Linked DNA regions of Drosophila melanogaster. The protein of the gene in region 1 interacts with the protein of each later gene in a pairwise test. Each region holds a gene or a part of one and is shown in the gene's direction. Other genes may lie near its edges.

Region 1 (4,117 bases):
TTCCACGCCGCAGCACGGAATTTTTATGGAATTTTTCTCGCTGTGTAGCTGATTAATGAAACCGTTGGCATAGGTCATGTGTGCCTTTGTCTGCTCAATGTATTCATGATAAATGGCCCCTCAACTTGACATTGAGCCACTAAAATATGCTAGCTCACTTCTTTTTCTCATGTATTCATCCACATATATATATATACATTTTTTTTTGTGTCGCCGACACTTTTGTTTTGTTTACAAACAAGTTTCTGTGGCCAACGAACTCTGGCCAATGGATGCTGGCCCAATTGCAGGCCGCTATATTTTTATTTTTTGGCAGTGGCACTTCCGCAATCCGCGACGCGGCGAGATTTCAATGTCATGACCAAGCGCGACTTAACCGATTTTTGTCTCGACTTTTCAGCCGAAGGCTTTCCCAAGTGCAAACGGGACGCGAACTTCGACAAATGCCTGGTGGATGCCGTCAATGTGGCGATACAGCAGCTGAAGGCGGGTGAGTAATCACACCGATTTGGTTGCAGACCTGGAGTCATCCTCTCACCAATTCCATTGCAGGCAATAGGGAATTTGGCATCCCGCCCCTCGAACCGCTGACCGTAAAGAAACTCGTTATAGACGCCGGCAATGCGCCAATAAATCTGCGCCAGGCCTTGAAGAATGTGAAGGTGCACGACATGATCTCCACCAGCAAGATCCAGCGGTACAGGTGGGTTATCACGATTAAAATATTTATTAATGAAATTAAATGATATAACATCACAATGTCATATCAACTAAAGAAGTTATAAATATATGATGAATATATGACCTCCTAAATTTCAGAACCGATCTGGATAAGCACTTGATTATCTGTGATAGCCGAACGGATCGCATAGAGATGATTGGCGACTACGAGATGTCCGGCCGCATCCTTCTGCTGCCCATCACGGGACATGGAAAGGCCAATGTCACGCTGATCAACACCAAGATCGAGCATCGCCTGATCGGCGAACCCTTTGAGAAGGATGGCGTCAAGTACATGCGACTAAAGGACTACCGGGTGTCCTTCGATCCCAAGAGGGTGTACATGAACTTCGAGAATCTATTCAACGACAAAACTCTGTCGGATGGTATGAATCGATTCCTTAACGAAAACTGGGAGACGGTGTTCAACGAACTAAAGGTGGGATATGCCAAGAGTTTCGGCATCATCTTCAGGGAGCTGTCCAACAAACTGTTCGAGAAAGTGCCCTTCGATAATATATTCTTAAGTTAAGTGCTTAAACAGCTTTCAATTACGTACCTATTAGGTAATGCTTAATTTATGTTACTACATAGTTAATAAAGGTCTTAAACGATACAAATCTGTTTTATTTATTGCGATATACCCTATGATAACTAGTCATCAACTTATTCAGGGGCAAAGTAAATATTTAACATATATTAACAACACTTTAGTTGGTTTGTTTAGGGCTTTAACCTTTCACACCTCTTAATTATTCGCTTCCCTTTTTATTGCTTGTAAACAAGATAATTCGAAGAATTTGCTGCCTGTAAACAGAAAAATCGGTTTGCTTATCTGAAAAGTGAGAAGTCAAGGTTGCAATGAAATTCTTTAATGCAATGCAAGGGTGTAAAAATTTATATTATATAGTCAACAGTTTTTAGTTTTGAGAAAACAAACAAATAGCTTAAGGTTAATTTAAAAAAAACAGTTGAAGGCTTAACATATATAAGCATTTTTAATCAATAAAAAATCAAAAAATATTTCAAAACTAAATTTCTTCTTCTTTCTTAATTAAAATAACCGTTAAGTATGTAGTGTGACCAGCAGCACAAATGAATGCATTTTCGACCTTAGCGCTTTGGTATTCTCTGCGAGTGTGTGGCTGTGCCCACTGCAGTGCCAGCTTTATTTGTTGGTCAATTTGTTTAAAACAATTTAGAAACCGTGCAAAGAACTCCACCGCCGGCAACCACATAGACCTTAAAGCCAGCCTGGATGGCAGAGAAATCGCTAGCCATGGATGGCACGGTGCCGGAGGCCAAGTACCAGAAATTGGCCACAGAATACTCAAAGGTAGGATTCCGCCCCAAATCGACAGCAACAGTTAACGCCCATTAATCCAATTAATCCCCCAAAAATGAACCCCAAATAGCTGCGGGCACAAGCGACGGTGCTAAAGAAGGCGGTGCTGGAGGAGCAGTCCAAGGAGGCCAGTCTGCGGGAGCAACTGCAGCAGTACGCCACCTCGTTGCGCCGTACGGAGCAGGAGGTGGACTCGCTGGGCTTTCGCAACAAGCAGCTGGAGTCGCGAGTTTCGCAGCTGCAGCAGGAAATCTCGGTGCACGAGCAGCCCAAAAAGAAGGACAAGGATTCTGGCGGCAGGCGGGGCGTGCAGAGCAATAGCCGCCCAGATGCCGATCCATCATTGGATGCCGCTCAGGAAGCCCTCATCTTCGAGGAACTGCAGAAGAAAATCATGGAGAATGCGCAGCTGACGTCATTGGTAAGGCCAGGGGGGATGAAACTTAAAATTGGGTATGAGTTATGGCTCGAATGACTATGCACAGATTGACGACAAGCAAAGGGATCTGCTGCTGCACACGGAGCGCATAGCATCGTTGGAACAGAAGCTGGAGAAACGCATCGGCGATCAGAACGAACTGGAGAAGCGACTCAGGAAGGAGGTGGAAACGCTGCAGCACAGGAACAGCGAGCTGGAAACAAAGCTGGTTGATGCGGCCAGCATGGTAATATTGAGATCTCTCTTTAAATATTTACCCAAAGATTCGCGTGCTTTCAGCTTGGCAGCGAGGACGCACTGAGCGCCACCGGCAGCGATACTACTCCTCTACACAATCTCCAGCAGCAGTCGAATAGCAACCAACTCACCTCCGAGGATCGCATTGCGCTGCTCGAGAAGGAGGCGGCGCATTGGAGGGCTCAATTCGAAGTGGCCAAGCTGCATCAAGCATTTGTCTCGAACCCCAGCAAGGATCTCAGCACGTGCAGCTGCAGCACGGCGGCGGCGGGCGTCACCGTTCGACCGGCAGAGTCGGAGGCGAAAGGCAGCCAGCGGGCGCGGGATTCGCTGCAGGATCCCCCCGAACCGCCCACCAAGGAGCAGCTCATCTACAGTGTGTTCAGCAAGAAGTTCGAGGATCTGATGCGACTGAAAGTGCAAGCGGAATCCAAGTTGCGATCCTACGAGCTGGAGGTTCAGCACCTGCAAAACTGCCTGGAGAACGCAACGCACGAACTTAAGGCCAAGGACGATCAGTTGGCCAGTTTGGGTGGAGCCCTGCAAATGCTCGAAGAGGAGTTGGTGAGTTGTGCCTGCAGTTTTGTGCTCTTAGAACCAAGTGACATCTCGGATTTCCTTAGACTACGACGCGTATTAACTACGAGGAGCAAATCAGCGTGCTGACGGAGCAGGTCATCAGCTTGAGTGACCAGCTGGCCGCCTGCAAATGAGCATGGACAGCGGCGCGCATCCCGCCCAGCTGCTTTACTGTATATTGTTGTAAAATAACTAACTGGGAACGCCCGCTCCCCCTCTACCCTGTTTTGTTATTGTCCACCCTCGACGTGTATATAACTGAACATTCTATGTGTATTAAATAATTCTCTAAAGTTTAAAGTTTACAATTTGATTGAGAAGGAGGAGCCGCAGGAGCAGCCCTGTTCCGCCAGCGGATTGGCCACCATCCGGAAACCGGCGCGTATTAGTTCGCTATGGTAGTCCACGGTGGCGCCGCTGCAGTACTCCAGCGAGACTGTATCGATCACCACCTTGGCCTCAGCCTCGCCAAACTGTCGGTCATCCTCGTTCAGCTGCTTATCCAAATCGAATTTGTACTGAAAGCCGGAGCATCCGCCTCCTTCGACGGTCACACGCAGGAAAGATCCATCCACGCAGATCTCACGGAGCCGTTTCAAGCAGCTCTCGCTCACCTGGACACTAAGTTCGGGATTCGCGGATGTGGAAGCGGTTGCATGCCGCATTAGGATTAGATTTCTATGGAAGATCAAGCATTTATTGTGGGATTTGTCACGCAATTTTTCCTAGCTTATTTCACCTTTGCAATCCGCTCCTGGCCACTTGTCGCAGTAGGAACGCCATAATTTTACGATTTC
Region 2 (6,187 bases), 9.2 Mb from region 1:
AGCGGCTCAACGAGCTGCATGGCGACATGGAACTACTCCGGGAGACGGAGGCCAGCAACAAGTCGCGGGTACAGGCAATGGCCAGCGAGAATGCCGCTCGCAACAAGGAGGAGCTGCAGTGGCGTCGTGAGCGGGCAAACTTTATCTGCCACCTGGAGGGCCTCAAAAAAAGGAATGCCCAGCTGGCCTTCGACCTGAAGGCGGTGATCGATGAGAAGGAGGAGCTGATAACCGAGCGGGATGCCTACAAGTGCAAGGCACACCGCCTAAATCATGAACTCTTTGTGGCCCTCAGGGCGAAGAAAACGCATCCAAGGGTGAGTTAACTGATGCTATATAGTACTTACTTGATAGTTATTGATTTTCCAGCTCCTGGACATCGATGGTGTTTTGCTGGAGAACAAGTACCTGCATGAACGTGTGAAGATCCAAGACAGCGAACTGGAGCTCACCAAACAGAGCATCAATAAGTACAAGGTACTGGTATTAGTTAAGACTTATTACCATTTTATTTATTTATATTTAAATCATTCAGACAATGTTGGATGCAAAACGAAAGAAGGGAATTGTAAAACTTGGCGGTGGGAGCACAAATGAGGACACCATTCTAAGCCCCCGGCAAGGTGAGTAATTATATGGTGGCCACCTCTTTCATGCCTTTCTAATTTGTTTGTACCCTAGTGAAAACAATCCTCGAGAGTGGCATTGAGCTGCCTCAGAAAACCGAGAGCTTAAGCGATCTAAAATCCTTGTGTCTGGCCCTGCTGGACAATCTCAACGACAAGAACTTGGCCCTGACGCACCAAAAGAAGACCAACAAGTAGGAAAATCCAGCTGAAAGTTGATATATATTTCATAAACCCATATTTCCTGCAGAATACTGGCTGGCAAAATGACGGAGCTGGAGCAGCGGTGGCAACAACTCCTCTCCGGAAACGATGACAACGCAGAGGAGCAGGAGGAGGACGTGGAATATGGTTATGCGCCTTCGCAGCTGCTCCTCAATGGCTATTGTGCCGCCATGGTAGATGACGCCGACATCAGCAGCACTCCGTCCATTGAGCCAGATAACGAAGGCGTCGCCATTACAGCGGATCATGAAGATTCAAAGAAGCACAAGTCCGTTGAGGCTCTGCATTCCGACGATGGAATGTCCTCGCTTTCAACGGAGTCCGTGGATTCGTCTGTGTACGGTGCAGATGTGCAGCCCGATGACTTCCAAAAGTCTTCATCCGCCACAACAGATTCGGGCAACTGTGGATTGAGCAGCCGCTGCAACGGCACGCCACGAATATCCAGTGCAGTGGCACGGGAACGTATGGAGGATCTGAAGGACCTGCCGCCTCACCTGGCCACTCTGGTCCAGAAAGCACTTCACGATCTGGACATGCGGGACTACGAGGCTATGGTGACGATACGAGCAGAGAATCTGGCGGCTATTCCTTAGAGAAAAACTAGTTCAATTGAGGACTCCCAAAGAAATGGATGAAACCATATCTCAGTGTTGACAAAAGATATAATACATATATATATTACCGCAACAGCGTACAATAAAACCAGATTATATAAAATAAATCACTTTATTCAATCGATATTGCGTTGAAACTGGATATGTACAATAACTATAGCATACAGTTTTAAAAGACGCGCCCAAGTTATCGATAAATAATATGCGGAGTGTTGCATACCGTTAGCATAAACACACTCTCACACACTCTTATTTCTGGGTATACATTTTCTGATAAGAATGCAATAAATATCCCGACTGGTTGGAGTAATTTCGAGTTTTTGAATTAAAAATGCCTTAAGAAAAGTTTTTAATGAGCCATGTAGAGTTAACACCAGTGCCACATATCCTGGGAATGGAGCACCAATCAAAAGTCATCATCAAGCGGCCCAAATCAGGCCAATTCTAGTCGGAAAGTCGTTGCAGCCGCCCATTGCCACCATGTCGAATGATGTGCAGGTCGCCCGGGTGGCCAAGATAGCTACCGATGTGCCGCGTCGCAGTGGCAAGCAGCGTGACTCCAGCGGATTCCAGGGCAAGCACTCCGGCAGCGCGGCTGGCGAGGATTTCGAGTACGTCTTCGGTAGCATTTCGCCGCGCGGTGGAGGACCCGGTGGCAGGCACTTGGTGGGATCCTCCGACCTGGACTCTCCGGAGCACACGCAGCGGGACACCACCGAGAGTGACAACAACATATCCAGCTGCTCCACGCTAGACATTGTCAACAAAGTGAGTAATGATGCCCGCACTGAGAGAAATAACTAGATCTTAAATCAAAAAAATCAATATATTAATTTGCAATGATACATTGGTACTAAACATGATCAAGTTCATTTTAAATTAATTTTTAAAATGATCACAAAATATTTAAAAATACCTCATTATTGTGTAGTTTAAAATAAGAAACGCAGAATTTTCAATCATTGGTTTTCAAAGTGTTTCGGGCTTTAAATTCGGTTGGCGTCCAGTGCGCAGATGCGTGTGGAAGGCTGAGGGTCAAGTTGCAGCGGCGGAGAGCGCGGATGCATCCGCGGTCGGATGACGACGTAATCGCCAGTCAAAATTTTCCACTGGACCATGATTTCGGAGCAACTGCTTCCGCGCAGCTTGAGCTGCCTGTGCTGCAGCGATACGCCATCGGTGCCCAACGACAAGAGACGCAGTTGGGAGTATACGCTGATGGCTCATCCTCTGGCCAGACGGCCCATAAACGTGATGACCCCAAGAATAACCACTTAGAAAGCTCTAATCCGCCTCTTTTCTTTTGATTCACCTCCAGGTTGAGCAACTGTCGGTACAACAGCTAGAAAACCGGGTGCGGGATCTAACGCAGCGTCTGCAGCAGGCGGAAAGACAGCTCACTGAGAGCAACACAGAGCGGGAAATATGCCACAAGCGCTTGGAGGTTGTCAGCCAGGCCCACGAGTGTCGCATCACAGAGATGCACTGTGTCATCGCCGAGTTAAGCAAGAAATTGCGCAGTAAGCAGGACCACGTTATCATGGAGGAGCAGGAGCCCGACGGCAGCGGTGCGTAGCAGTTTCAAATGAGGGAAACAAACCCCTAACCGACAGTCTTGTTTTCAGAACTCAGCTTTCAGGAGGGTTCAGTGTACAATTCCGAGCTTAACCTCACCAATCCTGATGCCGAATGTCAAACAGAACCACTGGAAGACTTCGAGGGCGCCTGCAGTACCACCAGCGTGGGTAACGTTGCCCACAAACCGCCGGAACTGAGCCATAAGGGACAAGTGGAGGCACTGCAGGAGGAAGTTCTGCACTTGAGAGCTCGAATCGCCCTCCTCCAGTCCGAGATTTCCACCAAGGATGCTGCTGTGGTCGAGGAACAGACCAAAGTCGCCTTCGACTGCGAATCGGAAGTCAACGAGTGCGGACAGCGACTGAATGATTTGAATGGTAATATAAATAATCCTGATGATAAAAGAATGGTTACACATTTAGATGCTTTCAGTTTGCACTTCCTTGACAAGTCCGCAAAAACGCATTCCAGCGGTACCGAAAATGGCTGAACGGGTTAAGTTGCGGTGCGCCAGCAAACATGAATCCGGAGAAGATCCATCCCAAGATACTTCATTGAGCAACGAGGTGTGTTGACCAAAACTTTATTCAGAGAATACATTTCAACCCATACAACCCATAATTTTAAGCAAATTAATCTGGTCGAACATTTGGTGTCGGAGCTAAAGGAGCAAAATCTATATATGGAGAACTTTATGGAGCCCCTACATTTGAGCAAAGACTTGGAGCGACTGCAACGACGTGTTGAACAATTGGAGATGCGAAACACCATGCTGGCACTGACGCTAGACGAATGCAAGGAGCACACTGAGCATCTGTATCTGCTATGCGGAAAGTACGAGTCCAATGCGGTTGCTCTTCAGTTGGCGCTTAATTGCAGTGATCGCGCCATCGAGGCCTACGACGTAATGTTGGCTCTGCTCGAAAGCAAGTAAGTACAATCACCATAAGACGCGGGTTGTTGTCCCTATTTCACAATTCATCACTTCCAGGTTGGCACTGCTGGGGGAGAAATCAGTGGCAGCGGAAGAGAGTCGACGATCGGTGGAGGCGGTGGCCAGGCACCTGCTAGCCCGTTTGGATAGCGAGAAAAACGTTTGTGAGAACAGCCTGGGACCGTGGCAACACAACATCAACCTGGGCCCAGAGGATGCCCCAAAAACTGGCCGCCCGTGGTGTGCCGACGACGACAACCGCCTGCGTTACCACGTCTCCAAGCTGAAGGGACGTCGTTCCAATGTCCAGCATACCATTGTCAGTTTGGAATCACCCTTCAGCGACATATACGAAAGAAAGCGCCTGGCTTTGGAAAAGGAGCACGAACTTCGGAGCGCGGACAAGAAGTCACCCATTGACTTGGAGACAGCAGTGATTATGCAAGAAATACTCGAGCTGCGGGATTCGAATTTGCAGCTGAAGACAAAAATGGAAGAGGCCGAGCAGGAACGGCAGAACGCCAACGAACGAGTGGGCATACTCCACGAAGCCCTAAAGCAGCTACAGGCAAACAACCGGGTCTCGTATTCGGAGGCGGAGCATGCGGCTCTCACAGAGCAGCAGTTGGTGGAGGCCTTAACTCGAGAAACGGAGCTCAAGGGTCGCATACAGACGCTATTGGCAAATGTAACAGCTTCGCAGAAGGCCTTCGACGAAAAATACGAGCAACTGCATCAGAACGTGCGTGAACTGCAGAAATCCAACCAGTAAGATTCGTTTTATTTTGACTGTTTCATACATAATTTCTTCATATTTCCCTTTTAGCAATCTGGGCCAAATGTTAGATCACACCAAGCGCAAGTACCAGCTGCGGGTGAGGAAGCTAGAGCAGAAGATTGTTGACCTGCGGCTGGACTACGAGCAAGGCCATAACCATGTTCCTGAGACTACTCTGTAGGAAACGCATGACGACCTTCCAGGAGGACTGAGCAACTGGGCGTGGAGCGGGCGCGCTTGTCACATATCCCGCAAAAGATCTTTCCCTCTCGATCATATCGCTTATTTTACCTTTAATGCAATGACCACCCGCCCAGCAGTCGCCGTGGATCCGCCATGACCAAGACAGTATCACGAATGTGCCATGCGACTTAATTGCAGTCGGCTGGGGCTTGGGCGGTGTCCCTGCCTCGCAGATAAGGCTGCAGTAACTACATACTCAAATACATACATATTCAGAGGTGCCATGAGCAAGGCTCCACCAACCTATCCATAGATCCGTGGGATTGGAGCATCCGTCTATGGGCCACAAGCAATTACATATACACACATACGAATAGACAAACTAAGGAGTTATTCAAGACGCATACACGGGATCCTATATTTATACAATGTATTCGCATTTTGCTTGTTATATGATTCAATATGTATTTAAAACTGTACAAAATATAAAACGTCTACTAAAACTCGATAAAATTCACGAATTTGAAATTGGCTCCAATAATTAATCGATAAGCTAATGAAACTAACTTAAGCATCCATCACCATTTCGTGTAGTGTTGCAAATCACCAGAATCAAGTATATGAGTACTTGTGAAATAAAAATGTTTTGAAAATTTAACTTAATTTACTTAAAATGAGTGCCACAGATGCATCTACAGCCGATAGTGGCGCTAAACGAAAATCTTCTGAAGATATCACACACAATTGCAACGCAAATTTTGGCGCAGAAAACGGCCTAAGAAAGCGCGTAAAATCGGAGGAGCCTGTGGCGTCCATTAAAGATGAAACAAATCCTGAAGTTCCTATGAAAATAAAAGCTGAGCCAGTGGAGAATGCAGATGAGCCCACAAGCACTACTCCTGCGATCAAGATTAAAGCCGAACCAGCGGACAATGGAAACTCACCTGCAGCTGCGATGGTAAAAACCGAGCCCACTAATAGCAATGCACAGGACGCCGCCGACGAGTCTACCGTATCTTCAAGCAGTATTAGGACTTCTTGTCGCTTCGGCATACGATGCTACAGGTGATTCACACTAACCAACTCCCATATTACCAACTAAAAATATACCTTTTTCCAATGACAGGCGAAATCCAGCTCATCGTAGTGCAGAAGCTCATCCGGGGGATCAGGATTACCGGCGACCAAACTTTCCAGCGCCACCCCTCGGAACTCCAGCTTGTCCTTTCGGTAACGCATGCTATCG

The links.
Region 2: the proteins of CG6607 (region 1) and CG34404 interact in a two-hybrid assay, tested with the Drosophila melanogaster proteins (2 studies listed by BioGRID).

What each region holds. Positions count from the first base shown.
Region 1 is NT_033777.3:24,526,199-24,530,315, forward strand, and holds CG6607 (uncharacterized protein), read left to right. Parts: upstream 1-1,848; 5' UTR 1,849-1,978; coding exon 1,979-2,056; intron 2,057-2,135; coding exon 2,136-2,486; intron 2,487-2,550; coding exon 2,551-2,730; intron 2,731-2,783; coding exon 2,784-3,305; intron 3,306-3,364; coding exon 3,365-3,454; 3' UTR 3,455-3,617; downstream 3,618-4,117. Other genes in the region: Jhbp12 (juvenile hormone binding protein 12), read left to right, coding at 401-490, 553-703, 820-1,252; CG13623 (uncharacterized protein), read right to left, coding at 3,623-3,998, 4,060-4,103.
Region 2 is NT_033777.3:15,363,196-15,369,382, reverse strand, and holds CG34404 (uncharacterized protein), read left to right. Parts: upstream 1-1,717; 5' UTR 1,718-1,948; coding exon 1,949-2,236; intron 2,237-2,560; exon of another isoform or gene 2,561-2,584; coding exon of another isoform or gene 2,585-2,719; exon of another isoform or gene 2,720-2,786; coding exon 2,787-3,036; intron 3,037-3,093; coding exon 3,094-3,423; intron 3,424-3,478; coding exon 3,479-3,612; intron 3,613-3,674; coding exon 3,675-3,976; intron 3,977-4,037; coding exon 4,038-4,748; intron 4,749-4,806; coding exon 4,807-4,939; 3' UTR 4,940-5,450; downstream 5,451-6,187. Other genes in the region: CG14868 (uncharacterized protein), read left to right, coding at 1-317, 370-477, 536-623, 682-820, 877-1,447; CG6171 (uncharacterized protein), read left to right, coding at 5,615-6,006, 6,068-6,187.